Linked DNA regions of Mus musculus. The protein of the gene in region 1 interacts with the protein of each later gene in a pairwise test. Links are inferred from orthologs where the notes say so. Each region holds a gene or a part of one and is shown in the gene's direction. Other genes may lie near its edges.

What was found.
Region 2: the proteins of Appl2 (region 1) and Suv39h2 interact in binary tests that used the Homo sapiens proteins (3 or more experiments, as listed by UniProt). The link is inferred for Mus musculus from reciprocal best matches to the Homo sapiens genes APPL2 and SUV39H2.
Region 3: the proteins of Appl2 (region 1) and Rab22a interact in binary tests that used the Homo sapiens proteins (3 or more experiments, as listed by UniProt). The two-hybrid records come from large-scale screens. The link is inferred for Mus musculus from reciprocal best matches to the Homo sapiens genes APPL2 and RAB22A.
Region 4: the proteins of Appl2 (region 1) and Cradd interact in binary tests that used the Homo sapiens proteins (3 or more experiments, as listed by UniProt). The two-hybrid records come from large-scale screens. The link is inferred for Mus musculus from reciprocal best matches to the Homo sapiens genes APPL2 and CRADD.
Region 5: the proteins of Appl2 (region 1) and Rab5c interact in binary tests that used the Homo sapiens proteins (3 or more experiments, as listed by UniProt). The two-hybrid records come from large-scale screens. The link is inferred for Mus musculus from reciprocal best matches to the Homo sapiens genes APPL2 and RAB5C.

Annotation. Positions count from the first base shown.
Region 1 is NC_000076.6:83,607,116-83,611,114, reverse strand, and holds part of Appl2 (DCC-interacting protein 13-beta), read left to right. Parts: exon of another isoform or gene 1-48; coding exon 49-137; intron 138-2,019; coding exon 2,020-2,178; intron 2,179-2,362; coding exon 2,363-2,415; intron 2,416-3,999. UniProt on the Homo sapiens protein: Multifunctional adapter protein that binds to various membrane receptors, nuclear factors and signaling proteins to regulate many processes, such as cell proliferation, immune response, endosomal trafficking and cell metabolism.
Region 2 is NC_000068.7:3,472,187-3,476,844, reverse strand, and holds the start of Suv39h2 (histone-lysine N-methyltransferase SUV39H2), read left to right. Parts: upstream 1-1,858; 5' UTR 1,859-1,898; coding exon 1,899-2,142; intron 2,143-2,633; exon of another isoform or gene 2,634-2,813; coding exon of another isoform or gene 2,814-2,825; intron 2,826-4,197; coding exon 4,198-4,343; intron 4,344-4,658. UniProt on the Homo sapiens protein: Histone methyltransferase that specifically trimethylates 'Lys-9' of histone H3 using monomethylated H3 'Lys-9' as substrate.
Region 3 is NC_000068.7:173,694,107-173,698,105, forward strand, and holds part of Rab22a (ras-related protein Rab-22A), read left to right. Parts: intron 1-1,003; coding exon 1,004-1,075; intron 1,076-1,152; coding exon 1,153-1,259; intron 1,260-1,783; coding exon 1,784-1,893; intron 1,894-3,999. UniProt on the Homo sapiens protein: Plays a role in endocytosis and intracellular protein transport. Mediates trafficking of TF from early endosomes to recycling endosomes. Required for NGF-mediated endocytosis of NTRK1, and subsequent neurite outgrowth.
Region 4 is NC_000076.6:95,320,482-95,325,268, reverse strand, and holds the start of Cradd (death domain-containing protein CRADD), read left to right. Parts: upstream 1-1,559; 5' UTR 1,560-1,800; intron 1,801-2,379; 5' UTR 2,380-2,385; coding exon 2,386-2,683; intron 2,684-4,787. UniProt on the Homo sapiens protein: Adapter protein that associates with PIDD1 and the caspase CASP2 to form the PIDDosome, a complex that activates CASP2 and triggers apoptosis.
Region 5 is NC_000077.6:100,714,407-100,718,262, reverse strand, and holds the end of Rab5c (ras-related protein Rab-5C), read left to right. Parts: intron 1-298; coding exon 299-421; intron 422-1,357; coding exon of another isoform or gene 1,358-1,411; coding exon 1,412-1,505; intron 1,506-2,100; coding exon 2,101-2,216; 3' UTR 2,217-3,260; downstream 3,261-3,856. Other genes in the region: Hspb9 (heat shock protein beta-9), read right to left, coding at 3,814-3,856. UniProt on the Homo sapiens protein: The small GTPases Rab are key regulators of intracellular membrane trafficking, from the formation of transport vesicles to their fusion with membranes.

The DNA of each region.
Region 1 (3,999 bases):
GAGGCATCCATTCCTGGACTGAGCATGTCTCCTGTGGCTTACCTTTAGGCAGTAGCCATCAAGTTGAATCAGACGGCTCTTCAGGCGGTGACGCCAATTACAAGCTTTGGGAAGAAACAAGAAAGCTCCTGCTCCAGGTAAGCAAGGACGAGGAGAAATTAGCCTGTGCGGAGCCACGCTGTATTAGAGATTTGAAGTGAGTTCTTCCGAGTTCTCACAACCCTCCACAGATTCCACTGCACCCTGTGCAACAGACGCAATAGTTACAGCCGGAAAAGTCAGTAATGTGCCCACACTCACAGCACAGAGAGAGGTGGGATCAGTATTCAGACCTGATTGTCCAGGGCCACAGCCACACATGACAGACCCTCCTGCAGCTGTGTTAGCATCATGGTACCGTAGCTGTGTCACCTTCTGTGTGTCCGTGGTCTGGGCTCAGCCTTCTCTGCATATGCATAGGTTCATTAAGTGCATCCAGGTTTCCACTTACTTGACTACATTTCTCTAATTCTTATACTACGTCTTACAGTCATGTATTAGCATTGAATATTTGGGGTTATGGGAAGAGTCACATCAGATCACCTGGCCGGCCTCATCCCTGTAGCCCTCCTTGCCTCAGCCTCCCAAGTGCTGGAGTTACAGGTATCCTCTCCCACACCTGGTTTTCCCATCTCCATTAGCTGAGCATTTCCATGCACACAGCTTTTCCTCTGAATACTGCCTAAGGATGTATTCTAGAGCTCCTACATCTTATCTCAGTGGGAGTTTTCAAGTGGTTAATTAGGTAGGAGAGGTTTGCCTTTCTGTTGCATTAATGGCATCAAGGGGCATATTAAAATCAAGACTCTAACTGTGTCTTTTAGTGGCATGGTAGAAAGAACTCCATCAGATGTCCTACAAATACTTAATGGCCCAGAAGGCAGGAGTCCTTAGGAAACTCTGATTGTGTAGCTTCTCCGGGTTTAGGCACCTGGCATTGGTCTGTGAGAAAGAACGATAGGTAAGGCCACCAGATAGATTTGAGTCATTGCAGAAAGCCTTGGCGATTCCTGCTCAGGGATTACAGGCAGTGTACAGGCCAAAGGATTGAGAAAGGGGCAACACTGCATAGAAGTATGTCAAGTAGCCATTGCAGTCCCTATAAAGTATTCAGTTAGGACATGTTTGAGAAACCAGAAAATGCTGATGTAAAAATACCAAGTGAAAAGATTCTGGAGGGCTCTTGTGGCCCAGACTGTGTAAGGAATGGAAATGTTGTGACATTCAGTGCCCTTCAAAGTTTGCACTGTACCTTAAAAAGGATTTTTAAAGGGTAAAGTTAAATGACAGCATTCTGTCCTCAAGAGAAGCAGCAGGACAGTGTAGGACAGGCTCCTCACTGTGCAAGCACACTACGTTTACAGGCGCTGTCTCTAGCTGCAGATGAGACACAGTGCAGTGCTCAGGAGGCACAGGGGACCAAGTACTGTGACTTATTGAAAAGTATCAGAGAATTCAGAGAAGGGACAGAAGAATGGCTGGCACAATGGTATAACGGAGCCGGTGCAAGGAGAATTGGCTAAGCATTGGGATGGAACTCACAGGAACAGGAACACGTGGCATGTTTGCTGTCTCTCTCAAGCGGTGGTCTAGTGAGTGGAAAGGGGATTTTCAGAAAATTACAGTTGGGTTGCAGTGAAGTGTCAGGTCCAGATGTTTTGTTTTTTCAGCTAACATGTCTTCAGTACCTACTATGTGTCAGTGTGAGCTGGCTGTAGCCTCAGTCCTAAAAACCCATTTCTAAGGGAGAAATTATTATGTAAGTCCTAACGCACTGCTCAGAATGGTGAGCAGCAGAGGGACTGACTATAGCATGAAGAACTGAATGGCTCTAAGCAAGGACGTGCAGTTGTGGAAGGTTTATTTGTAGAATGGCCTGAGAGCAGTTGGAGGCTCCTTTGTATTTCAATATGTAAAAGTCACAGCAGCATTAAACAAGTGCAAAATTTGATCAAGATTTTCTCCCTTTTTATATTTTAGTCAAAACATAAAAAATTCAGACATAGAAGATGACAATATTGTTCCCAAAGCAACAGCCAGCATTCCTGAAACAGAGGAACTGATTGCACCTGGGACACCCATTCAGTTTGATATTGTACTTCCGGCAACAGAATTCCTTGACCAGAACAGGGGTGGCAGGTAATACCTGAGGTGGCAGGCTTGGGAAAATGAGCGGCAGTTTGTCTATGTCTTTACCACCACCAGACTGCTACTGGGGTACCCTGGGATGCCAGGAGCTCAGGTGCTAAGCATCTTGCCAGCTGCAGCTGTCAGGACTGCTGACCTCTGGCTGACCTCTGGCTGACCTCTGGCTGTCCCCTAGGCGCACCAACCCTTTCGGTGAGACGGAGGATGGCTCATTCCCTGAAGCAGAAGGTAAGTGCCCAGGCTCACGGCTCTTTGGCCTGTACAAATGAAGAGGGTCCCGAACGTGAGAAGTCCTGTCCTAAAGCTCCAGCATGTTCTGTGAAAACTTGGACAAAAAAGGAAGGCCATTTTAGCTTTAGCCATACCATGCCCTTTTTGAAGCTCCTGCCCAGAGGCACTATCAAATCTAATTTGTTATTAGATTTCTATAGAGCAGGTTTTTCAGAGGAAAAAATGATCATATTTAAAGTGGAATCATGGTAGCTGAAGTGACAGAAGACATCTATAATCCCATCATTAAGGAGGCAGAGACAGAAGGGTCACTGAATTCAATGAAGCAGATGTTGAGATCCAAGCCAGGACAATTTCAGTAATTTGAAGCATTTGCAAGATCTCTAATATGGCTTCTTGAAGGGAATCTCACATTGTTTCTAGGATGCAAGTCTTTCTAATGACTCCCCTCGAGTTTAATAATACTTGAGAATTTACAGGAGCCAAGAGTCCTTCTCAGGGGTGGTTTCTCAGGGCTCGTGTGCTGCTCATAGAGAGGGCCCAGGGTTGCTTTCGGTTCCCATTGCCCACATGGCAGCTCACAACCAGCACCAGAGGGCCCCACGCCCTTTTCCAGCCTTTACATGTACCAGGCACGCAAGGTGCACATAAACTTAAAAATTTACTTTAAATCTACTTGAACATTGCTAGAGAAAAGACTCAGCAGTTAAGAGCATCTAGTGTTCTTGCAGGGGACCGACCGCAAGCTGGGTTTGCTTACCAGTACCTGTATAGCTGCTTATAACTGCCTTAGCTCCAGTTCAGATCTGACACGGTTTGGCTTCCACAGGCACACATAGCACATGCATATACATATACAAACACATACACATGTGAGAAAAACCTTATACACATAAACAAAAATAACCCTTTAAAAGGGATTTGGCTAAACTAGGTTTTGTTTTACTGACAGACTCTGCTTTAGAAATGACTGCACAGCACCATGTACCTCAATGACTTGGCACAGTCCACACACAAGTATTTTAGATTCAGCTGGGTGTGATGGGCCATGCCTAGCTGAAGTCATAGAAAACATCTATAATCCCATCATTTGGGAGGCTGAGACAGAAGGGTCACTGAATTCAAGACCTAATTCTATGAAGCAGACTTTGAAATCCAAGCCAGGACAATTTCAGTAATTTGAAGCACTTGCAAGATAATCCCAGAACTGTAAAGACTGAGACAGGAGTCACTGTGTTCAAGACCAACCTAGTCTATGTGGCAGGATCTTGCCTCAAATAAAACTATTTATGTAAAACTAACTCCAGACCTGGGCATGGTGGCACTCACCTTTAATCCCAACACTCAGGAGGCAGAGGCAGGCAGATCTCTGAGTTCAAAGCCAAGTCCAGGCTAGCCAGGGCCACACAGAGAAACCGGTCTTGAAAGAAAAAAATTTAAAAAAGACCACGTGTAGCATGTTTTTAGCACGTTAGTTTTGTAAACAAGGATGGGGTCTTCTAATCATCTTTCAGTTGTTGCTCAGTACTGTTAGACTATGCCCCCACTGACCCTGGCCTATGGCAAATGCCTGTAGTACCA
Region 2 (4,658 bases), on another chromosome or scaffold:
TATGTTTTAATATATACTTTCCTCTGTTAGGATATGATACATGTTGTATGAGTTCTGGAAAATTACAGTACATCCATGAGAAAAACCACAGAGATCAAATGACAGGGCATTCCTGGAATCCGGGAGAAAGTGCTTGGTGCCATTCAGCGAGGAGGACATGTTCTGAGAGGTGTGTTTTGTGCAGGTTAGTGTGTAAAGATCACAGAACACTTGCAGAGCTGCTAACCATGTCACCAGGAGACAAAGTTGTTACACAGGGAAGACTGGGGTTCTGTGTTCATGGGTTTCCTGAGAGGCTTCGGGCCTACTCTTCTACACTCTGAGAATAGAGAGTAGACACTGAGGAAGGTTGGAGTGGCTGGCTCTACTCTATGCCCTAGAATTAAGAAAAACAAGGGAGCCAGGCAGTGGTGGCACATACCTTTAATCCCAGCACTCGGAAGGCAGAGGCAGGTGGATTTCTGAGTTCGAGGCCAGCCCTGGTCTACAAAGTGAGTTCCAGGACAGCCAGGGCTACACAGAGAAACCCTGTCTAAAAAACAAACAAAAAAACACAGAGCCTTGGATCTATCAGACAACTGCTATTCCACCAAGCTATCCTCTGCTTCCAGCATCCTTTGCCAATTTTTAAAATAAAACTTAGCAAGACCAAAAATATTTGTAAGACTCTACCCTGACCGTTTTTTGACAAAAGCTTTTAAAGAAGAGCTAGAGAACAAAGCCAGACAGAATGCCTGAGTGGCCTCTGAAGAAGTAACATTTGAGTTAAATCTAGTCACGTGAGAGGGAGCAGCACATGAAGGGGAGTCAGTCAGTTCTTTGATCTAGACCGTGATTTCCAGTTTAAAGTGTTTATTGGGGGAGAAGGGAGCTTTGGCTAGCACCTGTAATTCCAGCTCACCAAAGTGGAAGCAAAAGGGTCAGGACTTGAACATGCTTCTCAGACAAAGCAAGTCTGAGGCTTGTTTCATTTTCTGTTTTAAAGTCTCCTTAGCTGGGTGGGAAGTGGCTGGAAGGGGAGCAATGGAGAGGTCAAGGCAGCTAGGCTGTTTTGGCTGAAGAGAAGACAGGCAGTATGTGCTTGTGAATAGCATTGACATGACTGGCTTACAGAATTGCCGATGGTCTTTTGTGTATAATGGTTCCTCTTACAAGTTTTCAGATTTACAGTGGTAAAACCGAGAACGACCTGACTCTCCCCAAGCATATATGGCTAAAACCTGCCCTCAGCTTAAGTCTGTTAATGTTAGTAAGTCCTTGTCCTAAGTGTACCTTTTACGTTTGCCTTAACTAAGAGGGTTCTTGGCGGGGTTGGTTGGATTCTCACAATTGTCAGGCTTTTCCTTTGAGTCCAGCTGCTACATGGCCACATCAACTCATCAGAATCTCTTTGAGTGGTTTAAACAGACAGCACCTCTCCAGGTGAACCCAACATGCAGTCAAATTTTAAGATCCTGAGTCCTGGTGGTGTGGAGTGAAAGGAAAAGTAGTGGGGCTTCGTTGGGTTGAAGTGCTGAGGAACAAGAGTGGGAAAGGAGCTACCTGCGCACACTAACCCCGCACAGCCTATTTTGCGTTTTGTGGCGGGCACGTCAGGTCTTTGTGAAGCGACTCAGGGGACCGCATGAAGAATCATGGCAAGCGACCTCCGAAGTCAAAGCGAGTAACAAGCCAGCGACGGGCAGGGCCAGTTTCCACGGAAGGCCCCGCCCCTTCCCGCCCCCACCGTGCGGCGCAGGCGCGGTAGCTACCACCGCAGGGGTCGGTCTCCGCTGACGTCAGAACGCCTCGCTCCTCTCAGCCTCCCCGCTCCGGAGTCCCTGGCGGGCCGGGGCGGGGCGTGTGGCCAGCTGAGTTCTTCGGGCTGACCGCGCCAGTTTGAATGAAAGCTCCGCAAGATGGCGGCGGCCAGGGCCAAGGCACGGGGCAGTGAGGCAGGAGCGCGGTGTCACCGGGCTCCAGGTCCGCCCCCGAGGCCCAAGGCCAGGCGAACGGCGAGACGCCGCCGCGCGGAGACCCTGACGGCGCGACGCTCGCGGCCGTCTGCGGGCGAGAGGCGCGCCGGCTCCCAGCGAGCGTGGTCCGGAGCTCCGCGGGCCGCGGTCTTTGGCGACGAGTGTGCACGAGGTGCCTTATTCAAGGGTGAGCAGGAAAGCACACGCGCTGCGGCGGTAGCGGTCGCCACCTCCGAGCCGGGGGTTGGGGGTGGTGGCGGGGCTGAGGTGCGGTGCTGGAGAAAGGGAATCCCCTGGTGCCTGCGTTCGAGCGGGTCTGGCCTCGCCGTGAAGCGCCTGCACACGCAGCCCTGAGCTCCGGGAAACTTTGGGGGGCCCGGCTGGAACTTGCAGGTTATTTCTGTGGATGCTGAAGCCGGGGCACGCAGTGCGCGTGCGTGCGCTCGAGTCGCGCGCCCTTTGAAAGTCTGGGTTGTGCAAAGCCTTCTGGAATGAAAAGGTTGTTCTCCAGCTCTTTCCTCCGCTCCACCCAGATGGTGACACTATTATTCCCGTAGGTAGCTCTTGCCTCCTTGAAGCGTGGTGGGGATGGGATGGTGGAATGGTTTTTATAAACGGGATGTTATAATCTAGACAATGAGGCGTTTTCCTCTCATCATTTTTGGCTGTGGGATTTTGTAAACCAAGTGTTGGCAATTTTTCTTTTTAACATTTCGAGATGCCCCCAAAATGTAGCATTTCTGTTGCGAGGGGCGGTGCATTGTAATTACACGTAACGCTTCGTTATGACGTTTTCATACGAATATATGTACGTTGATCCTCCGATTCAACACCACCCTCCATTATAGTGTTGTGTTTTCAGATTCTCAGCTAGGGGTAAAAATTGAAAAGATAAATAAAACAGCAAACAACTTGGTTACATAAACAAGAGGACTCTCCTTTGCAGATGATTAGCATAAGGAGATTAGCATTAAGACAAAACAGCCTTAAGATTTTTAGAAGCGATTTATGAGACGTTTTTTACAGCTTTCTTGTCTCCAAACCGCCACACCTAAGCAAATAAATGTATTCTGGCAAATTTGAAGGAAAGTCTTTTTGCAGGTGCCAGAAATATGAGTTGTTTGCAGTCACTGGAGTTCGGAAGCTATCCTCACTGGTTTCTGACAATGAAGTCCTTACTGGGAAGGATGAGGAAGGACTGCGGGGAAAATTTGAGCGGTTACGCTGTCCCTTCCTGGAAACTTACCTTAAAAAGGTTTTTGCCCACCACTTCGGAGAACTAAAGACAGCTTGATGAGTTAGAGATACATTTTCTTTGGTCACCTCTGTTCTCAACAAAACACACTTTTTTCCAGTGAATCCCATACACAAAAAGATTGGGACTTTCCCAAAGTTGTGTAGCTAGGTGACCCACCAACGGGTAGAGCAGAGGACTTTTGATCATCTTGTATTTATCCTGATAGTAGGGGTAGTGAAGTTTGTTACATTTTTCTAGACATCAGTTGTGTGATTATATTTTTAAATCCAGGATGTAATACAGTTCATTTCTGGCCTCCGTACGGGTATTGTTTAGTATGTCTGATTTTCAAGTCTGGCTTATGGAATATTTCCACCTTGTATTCTGTTTTGTAACTGCTGGCTTGAAAACTGTAGGAAACAAGTATTACAAAGCTCACTATGCTCTCCACTTAAAGTAGAATTCTCTGGCTTATGCATGATGAAAATACATTTTACCATGCACAAAATAAATGAAGCTAAAATCTCTCGACTTTTTACAAAATGGAAAAAGTAGGATATGGATTTCATATTTAAATTCTTATCATCTGACTAAAAGAAGTGAAGTTACTTTTAAGTTGTGGCCATTTTAGAATATCTTTTAGATATATTTCTAACAAAATGTCTTAGCTGTTTATTAGGAGAACAGTTTTATTCTGTGTAAAAAAATTTACTTCATTTTACCTTCGCATTTATATGTAACCCTAAGAAATTTTAGATGTGAAATATTTTAATTAGCCAAGCAAGAATTAGGCAATGTGGGTAAAAGTGGGATAGATGTCCACTGGAAAGTAAACCAATTTACCAAAACTAGTTCTTTATCCTATAACTTTTTCTTAAACACACATATGTAGCTTCTTGTTATATGTGTTTCTAGACTATAACATTGTCAGTTGAGAGGGTTTTAAGTTTTTGTTTCAGCCTAGTAGCTATTTTATTGGTAAAGAATTCTATTTTCTTATTGTAGCCTGGTGTGTGCCTTGCCTAGTTTCACTTGATACTCTCCAGGAATTATGTAGAAAAGAAAAGCTCACATGTAAATCGATTGGAATCACCAAAAGGAATCTAAACAATTATGAGGTGGAGTACTTGTGTGACTACAAGGTAGCAAAGGTAAGGCAATGTCCAGCCCCTTGGCAGAGACCTGTCCACACTGCAGTGTTTCATGTTTCTCTAACATAAAAAGAGCCTCAATATAAGTGAAGCTCTTCTTGTTTAACGTTGTAAGATATAGAGTTACTCGGTCAACACTGAGGGGATTCTGAACCGTCAAATGCTTTTGCATTAGAATATTTAGGGTGTTTATATCCTGCATCCAACTCTTGACTGTTTGCATATGGATTCCCAGAGCAAATTTGTTAGGCCTGATTGGTTTGTCCTGCAATTCGTGTTGTTCCTGAATCCTATTTCCTATCACTGGCAGGAACC
Region 3 (3,999 bases), on another chromosome or scaffold:
ATGAAAAGAACCAAGCACCCCACTGAGTGGGCAGAGGTGGCAAAAGTGCCATGTGACAGACCTCACGTATCTTCCCTCATGGGCGTTGCAGTGCAGATGTCACTACTTTATCAGAAGGGTCTCAGAGACAAGAGACAGAGGGATGCTGTGTGTGTTTTATATGTACACCCAGTGCTCTCTGAGGAGAGTGCCTACTACCCAGTCACCACAAAGGGAGCAGGATGCAGTACATGGATTACTCTTGGGGACCAAGCTTCAAAGTCAGGATGGAAAATGACAGTGTGATCCTTGGGGTGGGGGTGGGGGGACGACACCACACTGGGTCATTTTCCCAAGAGCCAGATTTGAGTGAGGAAAGAGCTTCACATTTTCCATCCCACTCGCGTCCAGGGAAGTAGCCATTGGATACCCTTGCTTATGCCTCTGTATCCTTCTAGTGATGGAGAGTGGCGGCAGAGACTGTGCTTGCATTGTGACATTGTGAGAGAGATGAGACCTATGCATGGAGATGTCAGAAAAGCAACTTGCAAACTCATTCAAGCAGTGAATTTAAATGTGCATTCATGTCTAGGACAATCAATGTCTAGATTACAGTGTGATCTCTTTGACACCCAGTAATGCAGCCACTTCTCGGGAGAACCATTTACGGCATGTTTTTATCTCCTTAGTTTGGGAAGCCAAAGTTTAAAGGACTATTGAACAAATGAATTTGGGAATTACTACATTGAGTTCAATTAAAAAGCTTTTTTAGCTGAAACATTTGTTTATTGCCCCATATTCAATTCCTATGAAGCTGTTTTCTAGACTGTCTTCAGAGACATTCCTGCACTACAGTCTGTCTTTGCCTTTGGTAATTATGGGTTCTTTTGCTGTAAAGCATTATGGCATCTTCTGTGGCTTCAGAGAAAGATTACCTTTTGTGCAGGGATAATGGACTTCAAAGTCTGCTAAAAGGACATCTTTCCCTGACCATCCAGTTTCATTGCTTCTTTTCCCTCTGCAGTTTCGTGCATTGGCACCAATGTACTATCGAGGGTCAGCAGCAGCCATCATCGTTTACGACATCACAAAAGAAGTAAGACTTTATTCTTTTCTTCTTAGCTGCCATCATGTATTGCTCAGGCCTCTAGCTACTCTCCTTTCACACTGCAGGAGACGTTTTCAACTCTGAAGAACTGGGTGAGAGAGCTCCGCCAGCACGGCCCCCCCAGCATTGTCGTTGCCATCGCAGGGAACAAGTGCGATCTTACTGATGTCAGGTGAGTTCTTAGACGAGATTCCCGGGCTGATTATGTGTTCCTTTTCTAATGAGCCACATCCAGGGTAAGAGTCTAGCTTTTATTTTATCTCTGACATTGAAAAATTTCTTGTGTTACATGGTTGGCCCTGAAGTTCCAAGCTAAAATGAAAACTTAAGGCATTTGGAGTTAATTATATTACATGTAGACAGGTGCGTGATTTACTCTAACATTAGTGTTATCACACATGACGTTATCTGAGATCATTGCTTCCCCAGGCTGCTGTGACACAGAGCACCTGAATACAAAAAGTCCATTTTATCGACAATCTCTCTGTATCACATCTGATTCCCAAAGGAAGGGCCTTGGCTTTGTTTTCCCGGGGGACGGGACGGGGGACGGGGGGAGGGGGGGGTGAGGGGTGTTTAATATAGAGGTTATATAAAACCTTATCAGGAAGATCATGTAACTGGAAAGACTGCTTACATGGGGGCTGGGGGGGTCTTAAGGGGCAGAACCTCTGACTCGCAGTTGTTGCCTTCCAGAGAAGTCATGGAGAGAGATGCTAAGGACTACGCAGATTCCATTCATGCCATCTTTGTAGAGACCAGCGCAAAAAATGCAATAAACATAAATGAACTCTTTATAGAAATTAGTAAGTATCTCTGCATCTTGTGGGTTTCCTCTGTTCGGGGCAAACACAAACAGAATTCTCTTTGTGGTTAGAATCTCAGCTTGTTTGGTGTAGTCTCTGAGACTGTCCACGAAAGGAAATTTAAGCAGATGAGAACGGCCAGTGTCTGTCATGTGGGGTTTCTGGGTGTTGTGAGATAATCTTTCCAGAAAGAAAGCCTCTCAGTGCCTAAGCCATTTTGTGCTCTCCTCGTCTACATATGTCTCAGTCACTCACTCATCCAGAACCATCAGAAATGAACAAAGTCAGGTCTGGAGAGATGGCGCAGGGGTTAGGATCATATGCAGCTCTGCCAGAGGACCTGAGTTTGGTCCCAGCACCCACATCATGCTCACAGCCACCTGGAACTCCAGCTCTAGGGGACCTGACCCTTCTGACCTCTGTGCAGCTGTACTTTGGTGCTCATACCTATATGCAGACACACAGAATTAAAAGTACTCACAGTTTCTAAAATAAAAGCACAGAATACCTCAAGAGAAATGAAATGTATGTAGGATCTGTTTGTAAGAAAACCTCCAAAACTAGTCCTCAGCAATGGAAGGGTCAGTCCTCTCCCCTTCTCTTCCCTCAGAGTGTTAACAGGCTGACGGTAGGTGAGAAGAGGCTGCCTCAAGCCTTGGGATTTTCTGTAGATCACATCTGTGTTTATTCATTTCATTCCAATTCATCAAAATGTTTATTGGGAACTGTTCCAGACTCAAGGGATCAGCCTAAAGAAGATAGACACAGCCCTTGCTCTCTGAGAGCGCGTGTTCTGTTGAAGGAGTCAGGCAGTGAACTCCAGATAAATAGGGTCATTTCACATAATAATAAGAGATATGAAGAAAGCAATTGTAGTAGATGTAAGAATGTGTGCAGACGGTCCCAGAAAGCCCCTCTGGGGGAAGAACTGGGAGCTGAGACCTGATGAGGGAAGGCGGTTGGGGAGCGTCTCTGAGGCAGTGGGGTGGGAGCTGAACCTGACAGTACAGGCCTGCAAGAGCGGGATTGTTTGCTTTCACTCAGCATAGCCAGCTCCCGGATAGGGAGTAGTCACGCAAGCATCGTGCCTCTGTACCCATTAACTGCCCTTAGGTCGCCATCCAAAGTAGCTGGAAGCTAGAAGGACTCTTGGCCTTGGTGAGGGTGAGAGTCATGAATGGCAGGAGCCACCAGAACCATACAGGGCCTGCCCAGGGGAGCAGCCCTGTAGCACCCATGCCTGCGATCGCAGCAGGTGGGCCCCTCTGGGGTCTGGAGATCAGAGCTGTTTGATTTTCATTTTGTGTTGCTCTTTTGAGACAGGGTCTCAAGAGTCTTAACTTTGTAGCTCAGGCTTGAACTCAGAGAAGTCCCCTGCCTCAGCCTTCCAACTAATAGAATTTATGAGTGAACATACCTGTGATAGTTTAGATGGCTCAGAGATGTGGATTTGTATTTATGTGTTTCATTGTTTCATTTTGGCCATTAATTTAAACCTTTCTAGAGTCCTTTGCAGATATCAGACAGCCAGTGTGGCCTGCCATTGGCTCACTGAAGCATCTGTTTATTTCAGGGTTAGCCTGGGTCATTCTTGAAAGGCAGTCTAAGTTTTGTCAATAGTCTTCACACTTTTTTGAGTGTCTCCATATAGCGTGTCATCTGTTGCATCCATTCCTGGTTTTGTTGTGGGTTCTTTTTCTAGTTTTGAAAATAAACATGTATTGGACTATATGAGCAACAAATCCTTATACCAAAACCCAGCAAGCAGGATACAGCCCTGTGGTAGTGACTTTGCTGTCATGTTCAGGACCTTGGATTCAGTTGCCTGCACTGCAAAGAGAGAGAGAGAGAGACAGACAGACAGACAGACAGATAGTACATACCATAACTGAGAAGAACTGAACATGGCCAGGCAGGTGGAAACTGGACAGAGCTAGAAGTCATCTTTATTTTTTGCTCAGTGAGTATTGTAAGGTAACATGTACCTGGCATACAGGCTTTGGGTTGGAGCATAACGTACACACAGGAAAGGGCAGTTTAGGAGCATACAGGCAACAATGCATTGTCTCAGAACACAGCCAAAGGATAACCCATCCTGCTAGTTGC
Region 4 (4,787 bases), about 12 Mb from region 1:
GAGATTTATCTCTATACTCATTTGGATGATCACCGAAGCTGTTGTTGACAGTTATTCACCTTTTATTGTTTTCCTTTTTTTAAAGACCAATGATTCTAGAGCTAAAGATAATGAAGGACCCTCTGTGTAGCTCAAGCTTGTGCAAGGAGGTGACAGTTGGGTGATTCACTAGCAATATTTTGACTGCCATTAGAAGAATAGAGTCAATCATACATGGTTGTGTGGTGTACTGGAAAGAGCAGGAGATCAGAGGGACTTGGTTAGAATTTAGGTTTTACTCTGTATTGGCTGTGAGATTTTGGATGATACAATTGACTTTCCTGCTTCTCTAGACTGCAATGATTTGAAATGCTAAAAAGAATTCCTACCACTTACATAAAAACACTGTCAGTAAGACAGCTAGTGCCTGCATAGAAACCCTGGAGTATATTAGCATTGTAAGTTTGCACATACAGTTGAAAGGTGTTGAGGAAGGAGATTTATAAGTGTCTACTGATATGTTTATAGATATTTTATTTTCAACTGGAGGTACTGGTAGAAATATTCTTTTTCTATTGTCAAAAAATTTTTTTAGCACACACATCCTTTTTGTTACATGTCACCCAACTAATTAATGAGTTTATTAATTGTTTTATTTTATGAAGTAATTTGTGCATGTAGGTGTATATTACTGGGAGTTGAACTCAGGGCTTAACTGCTAGATTAACTTTTGACTAGCTTATTATAGTCAGGCTCTCATGGAGTTTTTTCTGTTAAGATTCAACAATTCATTTACTCTTTCACTTAGATAACGTAGATCACCTGTTCTCAACCTGTGGCTCTGTAACAACCCTTTCACAGTGGCAGTGTAAGACTTATCAGAAAACACAGATGTTTACACTAGGATTTATAACATAGCAAAATTAGTTATGAAGTAGCAACAAAAATAATTTTATGGTTGGGGGACACCATATTACAAGGTCAAAGCATTAGGAAGATTGAGAACTACTGCCTTAGAGTTTTTAAACCACTCTCTCTCTTTTTTAATGTAGGAGAGTGTGCCTCTTTTCCCACAGCAAACATGGCGGAACAAACTTCAACCTGACGTCTTGCGCCCTCAACAAAGATGGCTACAGCACTTCCTGCTCTTGCCTTTAACAAAGATGGTCGCAATACTTCCTGTCTAGGACTTTTGCCCTCAACAAAGATGGTCTTTATGGTACAGGTTCCCTAGCAGTCTGGATTCCGGTTGTAGTTTTAGTTATTCTTTTTTTTTTTTTTTTTAAACGGTACGTGGTCGCAGACGTAAGTAAGATGACTCCATCTTCTCTCGCTGTCCCCGCGCCGTGGCGACATCGCCCCTGCGCGGCTCTCCCGGGGGCTGGACCGGGGTTCGGGTGGCGGTGCCGGGGGTCGGTTTCCTCCGAGAGGACAGTCTGCGGCTTCATTTACCGTGAAAATCGTCGGTAGCTCTAACTGTGCCACAACCACGGCTTTCAGCTGCCGAGACAGGGAACTTTTTACAAGTTCCAAATGGAAACACGCTGCCAAAACAAAACAAAACAAAACGGTCACCCACGCCCTCCTCACCTGCCACCTCCCGATTTGGCGGAAGATCGCGAGCAAGGCTGGGATCCGACGTCCCGCTTGTGTGGGCTGAGGGTGGCAGAAGCCCCGCCCGCCACCCTTGCTCCCCTTGCCTTCATTGCCACCGCAAGCCACCCCGCAGCACACTAGCGACCTGAGCTCATTCAGTGTCCCATGCATGCGTGCTCACGGCCCTACTGCGACCCACATTCCGAATTCTTGTGAGGCTTATCGGTAAAGGCACACAAACACTCATTTTCTTGAGGGTGCTTGTCCTTTCTTTGAATGCTCTATAAACTTCTTTCCTCCGGACTGTCTTCTATTGCTGGTCAGGGTCTATAAATAAATGTCCCTGGTGCTTTTTAGCAGTTTCTAAAGCGTGGGTGCTGGACTAACTCTGGCAAAGCAATATTGAAATCCACTATTTTCTAGCATTTAATTTTATATAATAATATAAATAGATTAATAAATCTGTAATCCTTAGGGATTGCATTTTAAGTAAGGGATCAGATCTGTTTTCTGTTGGCTCTCTTACTGCACAAGGAATTGAAATAGGGCCCCATTATCGTGAGAAGCAGAGGTAGAAACATCCATAATGAGTGTCGTTCATTATGCCGGGAAGTGTTTGAAATATCCGTGGTTTGGCTTAACAGCCGCTTAGGAAACACCGTGGCTCAGCAGCCTCTTAAGATATAAAGACCTGACTGATTTTTGAGGTGCTCATTAATGAGTTTGCAGCAATACACTGACTTTGGGGGGGGGGGTGTCCATCAGCATTCCTGAAACCTAGGTGCTCATTTTGGCTCTTTCCAGGAAGAAATGGAAGCCAGAGACAAGCAGGTACTCCGCTCCCTGCGTCTGGAGCTGGGTGCCGAGGTACTGGTGGAAGGACTGGTTCTTCAGTACCTTTACCAGGAAGGAATTTTGACAGAAAACCACATTCAAGAAATCAAAGCTCAAACCACAGGCCTCCGGAAGACAATGCTGTTGCTGGACATCCTGCCTTCCAGGGGCCCCAAAGCTTTTGACACCTTCCTCGATTCCCTCCAGGAATTTCCCTGGGTAAGAGAGAAGCTGGAGAAGGCGAGAGAGGAAGTCACAGCCGAGCTGCCTACAGGTAGGCCCCAAAGAGATCCCCTCAAAACAGCTCTGGAAGTGTTGCAACCATGCCCAGTGGATTGGAATTTGGTCTTTTAGGAGGGACCAGGGCCACGAGCATGGGCAACGGTTTGGATGCAGAGGGCATGGCGTCGGAGGGTCAAGACGAGGAGGCGGTGTTAGGAAACTCGAGGAAGGAAGGGAACATGAACCCTGAGGCTGAGGGGTTAAGGAGGGAACTGAGAGTACAATTTAGACATGCTTCCAGGGGAACTTGGCAAGTCACATGGGAGGCTTGTTCTCATCGGAGAGCCAGGTCAATCTGAGCCCTTTGGCAACAGGAACCGTTTGGAAAGCGCAGATGGGAATGCAGGCTTTGGCCTACTGATAACTGATTTGTGGGGTGCCAAGCTGCCAGCTGGAGGAGGTCAGATCATGGGAGACAGCCTCTAGGAAGGCATGTCCTGCACCTGTCCCCACAGCCAGCCTCCAAGGCCAAGGGGATTATTTTGAAGCCTGCCTTTAGTTTGTTTTTAAAGGCTGTTGGTGTAAAGTGGCCCTTTAAAATTCAGCTCTGTGCAGACACCTGGGGAATTTTATTTTGCAAGGGCAGTAATTTGGGGGTGCGAGGGGGGGGCGGATCTTATTTTGATTTTTTTCCAGGAAAAAAAATCCCTGGAAGCAGTGATCTGAAAAGAAACAGCTTGGTGCTTGTGAGAGGAAGGTGCTGCGGTATAAATCACTGTTTTCTTCAACTCCTCCCAGATATACTGCTCTTTCACAAAGATGAGGGACTGACCTAGAAAGATTAATTTTTTTTTTTAAATAATAAAATGGAAAGTTAACCAAGCCAAACCAAATCAGTAGATTTCCAGAGTTAAGAATTCAACGTTTTCTGGTTTTCAGTATAGATATGGACCAAGTCAGTGGTCTCCAGAATTTATTGTTAATGGTTTTTAAAAATGACTGTAACAGAGCTGGTGTGTGTGTGTGTGTGTGTGAGTGTGTGTCAGCAGCGACATTGGTGTCCTGCCTTTATGGAGGCAGAGGCAGGTGGTTCTTTGTGAGCCCAGCCTGGTCTACATAGCAAGTTCTGGGATAGCCAGAGCTACATATTGAATCCCTTTCTACACTCCCAATTTTCAAATAACTGTAATTGGTAACAACAACAACAACAAAAAAAATCAAATACTACCAGTAAATTACTTTTATAATTTAAATGTAAAACTATGGGTCTTATATTTTGAATGGTTCTGAGAGCACATATGATAATTATTTTTTTAAAATTAATGACATATATCTGAATATTTGACCAGAATGGGATAGCCAGTTAATTTAGAAAGACCTGGTGAACACTCAGTGGAAAATCTAAAAATATCTTTATTCCTAGGAGCTTGTCCAAATTACATGTCTTTTTGAAACCATGAGAATGCCGGCCTTTGAGGACCTCTAGAATTTTCAGCTTGGGTTGTCCTTAGAAAATTACATATTCCATGTGTCTGAACAAAACCAGGACCAAGTATCCCTGACATTTCTACCACATTATTACAAGCAGAATATATAACATGGAGTTGCGGAGGGAACATCAATGAGTTGTGCCTTTCTGGTATTCACATCGAAGGCTCTCCTGGCCGCACGCAGTTGGAAATGACAAAAGACCCGAATGCTTTTCACTCCCAAAATGTTGAGTTTAACCAGGTGATTATTTTGGGTTATATAAACGTTGTCATGAATTGTCATAGACATGAGACCCTCATTCTCACTTCTTCAGGTTTATTCAGAGAGCAAGAGAGAACTAAGATATCCTGAAGACATTAAAAAGTTAAGGAGAAACGGAGGGGAAAGGCGCTTTTATATCTAGCTGTTTATCTTCTATGTATGAGTGCTGCATCCTGTGTGTCAGTATGGGCACTGCGTGTGCCTGGTGCACATGGAGGTGGGAAGAGAGGGCAGGAGCCTTGGCAGCAGAGCTGTAGATGGTCGTGAGATGCCATGTGAAAGGCAAAGAAACCCAGTACTCTGCAAGCCCAGCCAGTGCTCCTAATGCCGAGCCCACTCCCCAGCCTCAAAGAGCAGCTTTATAATGGAAGCAAAAACCAAAAAAGATTGAACATATCTGTATA
Region 5 (3,856 bases), on another chromosome or scaffold:
AACCATCTGTAATGGGATCCGATGCCCTCTTCTGGAGTGTCTGAAGACAGAGACAATGTACTCACATAGATGAAATAAATCTTAAAAACAAACAAACAAACAACCTCATTTCAGACCACTCAGCCTTCTGTTCGGGGTGGTGTATGGGCGGATTTCCTGTTGACTGGAAAAAGAGCATAAGAATCTTTAGGGGTGATGTTTCAAATGCCTATGGCTATGCCAGTTTGCATTTGCAACTGAGTAACCCTGAGTAGACTATTTCCTTTGTCCCTTTGACATTGCCATCCTGTCTCCTCAGGATACATTTGCACGGGCTAAGAATTGGGTGAAGGAGTTACAGAGGCAGGCCAGCCCCAACATCGTCATTGCACTAGCGGGGAACAAAGCAGACCTGGCCAGCAAGAGAGCTGTGGAGTTTCAGGTAAAGTGACAGAACTTGGGGAAGGGTGCATTGGCTCTGTAAGGGAGGCCTCTCCAGGCTGCCTGGGCCCTGTAAGGTGACAGGCAGTGGCAGCTCTCATCTGCTGTCCTCTCAGGACTCAAGCACAGGCCATAAAGGAATTGTCTTTGTGTTGTGGGAGTGGGTGGATAGGTAATATTTCTGCACGTTTGCTTTGTAAGCCAAATGGACTGAAGCAGTACTTTTTTAGGCAATGCATGCATGTAAACTTCAAATACTCCAACAAGGCCTAGAGAATGAGTTTAGTGTCTTTAATCCTAGAAACTTAGCCTCTCTTATCCAGAATTCCCAGGTTTTGGTTTTCCCAAAAATGTACATATCTTTTACTTTACATCATGGATGGGAATATGCTGTGTACCACATGTACTATATGTTACAGTGTCCTATGTTTTTTGTAGGGGTGGGGAGCAGGAAGTATCTCATGTAGTATGTAGTAGCCCAGGCTGCTGGCCTTGAACTCCTGAACCTCTTGTTTTTCCTGGGGTTACAATCATGAGCCTCCACACCCCTCAGTTCATCTTTTTCCAGTCCTAACTCGATGGCCTCCTGGATTGCTTATAACCGCTGAGGACTAGAGACAGTGCTGCAGGTGGCATCCACATCTGCTCATGCTTTTGTCCAGATGTGCAGGCATAGTGCAGGAGATCTCTCTCCAGGAGGATCTTTCGCCTGGTGATTTTGAAGAACAAGTAGACAGAGAGGACCTAGGGAAGCTATTAAGAATCTGCCAATATTTGTGAACTGCGAGGTGTGGCGTGTGAGTGGAGAGCAGGTGATGCTGGTGTTTTGGGGAAACCCAGAACAGGGGAACCCTAAGCCTGAAACCCCTGCATTTGCCCAGTCAGTCTCTTGATTTATAAGGGCAGAGACCAAGGAAGATCTTATCCTGGGTCTTAGCCCTGCCATCTGCCATGTTCCCCTCCCACTCTCTTCCTCACATGCCTGAGTCAGGAAGCACAAGCCTATGCAGATGACAACAGCTTGCTCTTCATGGAGACGTCTGCCAAGACTGCAATGAACGTGAATGAAATTTTCATGGCAATAGGTAAGTTGTCTCTCCCTGTCCTTCCCCTGAGCAGAACAGGACCCTGTGTGCTAGTCTCTAGTGGGTCTGTGGGATATCTTCCCCAGCAGAATTTTTACCATTTAAACTTATAAAATTGAGCTGGAGAGATGGCTCAGTAGTTAAGAGCACCAGCTGCTCTTCCAGAGATCATGAGTTCAATTCCCAGCTCACAATCATTCGATCCGATTCTGGTGTGTCAGTGACAGTGTGCTCATATACCTAAAATTAAAAATTTTTTAAATAAAATTAACTGGTAAAATCGTCTGACTCCCAGATGCAAAACTTTCTAATGCCTGGACCAGTCTAAGTGTTATTCTCCCTGCCCATGTCAGAGCCTTCCATTGCCATGTCTTCCCCCATAGGACTTTAGCTCATTTGCCTCAGGAATCCTTCTGTCTATGAGTTCAAATCCTGGCAATGCCGGTTGTCACTCGGGTTTTGGGCAAGTTCTCTGCTTCAGTTTCTAGGGACACAGTATACCTGGCACACAAGCCCTCCAGTATTCTGGCTGTCACTGAGTAGGGGAGAGTGTTAGGGTGACCTCAAAACCTACTTCCCCTTCTCTCCCTAACAGCTAAGAAGCTTCCCAAGAATGAGCCCCAGAATGCGGCTGGGGCTCCGGGCCGAACCAGAGGTGTGGATCTGCAGGAGAGCAACCCAGCCAGCCGGAGCCAGTGCTGCAGCAACTGAGCCCCCTTACCTGCCACTGCCCCCACTCCTCCACCACAATGACCCGACTGGAATCTACTCTAACCAATCGCACTTAACAACTCGGGCCACCACTGGGGGCAGGGGAAGGGTCCATCAAGAATTCTCCGCATAACTTTGATCCTAGGCCGGAGGGAGTTATTCCACCTGCACCTTTCTGTACAAATACTAATTCAATTTTAAGTCTTAAGTCACTTTTTTAATATATATGATCTTCTGCTCTTCCCAGGTCCCTTTCTCCCGCTCCCCCACTTGCCCTTTGCTGGTAGTAGCCATGCTCCTGTGCTCCTCATCCGTGGGGACAGGGCTTGGAGCAGTCACCCTTTCTTCCCTTCTTGCTGGAGAGCGGACTCAGCAAGAGCACCCACATCTTAACTTGTTGGGAGCGTCTTAGGCTGGGGCAGTGGGCAGGCCCTGAGCTGGGGAAGGGACAGGCTGCTCTTCCCTCAGCTGGCTGTCAATCAGGCTGCAGCCTCCTCCCCAACTGACTCCCAGCTGGGAGAGAAACCGCAGCATTACTTAAGCATCATTATTGACAGCCGGACACCCATGGCCCAGGATCCCTCCACCCTTGGTCACTCTGACCTCTGGCTCTGAGCCCTGTTCTGACCAAATCACGATGATGAGTATTTGGGGGTGGGTGGGTAAGGGGGGGGAGTGGGAGGGATGGAACCAACTTTTTCTGTATTTTGTATTGTATGTTTTCTTCACCATGTAACCAATCAGTATCTTGTCAATATAGTCAGCCGATCGATCGACCTCACGCTTGTCTTCCTCGTCCTTCTCTGGCAGCTGATCAGGCCATACGTAGCCTCTCTGTTTTTCCTGAAGTTAATTTAAATGAATCATCCAATCTCATTAAATGGCTCTACTCCCTGTGTGTGAGAGGATGCTGGTGGTCATGGTAACCAAAAGAAAGAAGCCCTGCTGTTGGTAGTTCTGATGGTGGAAGAGGATAGGACTGACCTGGGGCTGACATCTGTCTCCCCCCAGCTTACATTAAAGGATATGCAACCTGTATTTGAAGATTGTTGGTGTCTGAAGTGACCTGTGAGGGTTTTTTGATAGGACCTAATTAGGACTCAGACCTTTTTTTTTTTTTTAAATATCTCCTCTCCCTGACGAGGAACACCGAGTACTGGTCGTAAGGCCGGTGCTACAGCCCATCACTACCACTGTCCTTCGTGACACCTCCATGCCAGGTTCAACACTGTCCATCCTGGTTCAGACCATCAGCTGATTCTGAATGGCAACAGCTAGGCTGTCCCAGCTCTCTGCTGCTCCCTGCTGGAGCTATTGCTATTGGCTAAATCCATACACACCCCTAGTTTATCTCAGGGCCAGAAACTTGATTATTGATGTACTTACTACCACCTTGAGTTCCCTCCCCTGGTCACCCTACTCCCTACAGCTCCAACCCTTCACCCTCAGGAAAAAAGCAGGAGGACTTAAGGCTGCTGCACACCTCGGTTTAATACATTAGGGTAGGTTGTAGTGCCTAGGGCCTCCCCTCCTGAGTCTCAGGGCCGAGTCTGTTTGGGCTTCAACTCTTCTCCCGCAGGAAGAACGCTAAGAGACTCTAAGGATTCTTCACACTTTCGTTTTGTAAGGAGCTCTTAGGC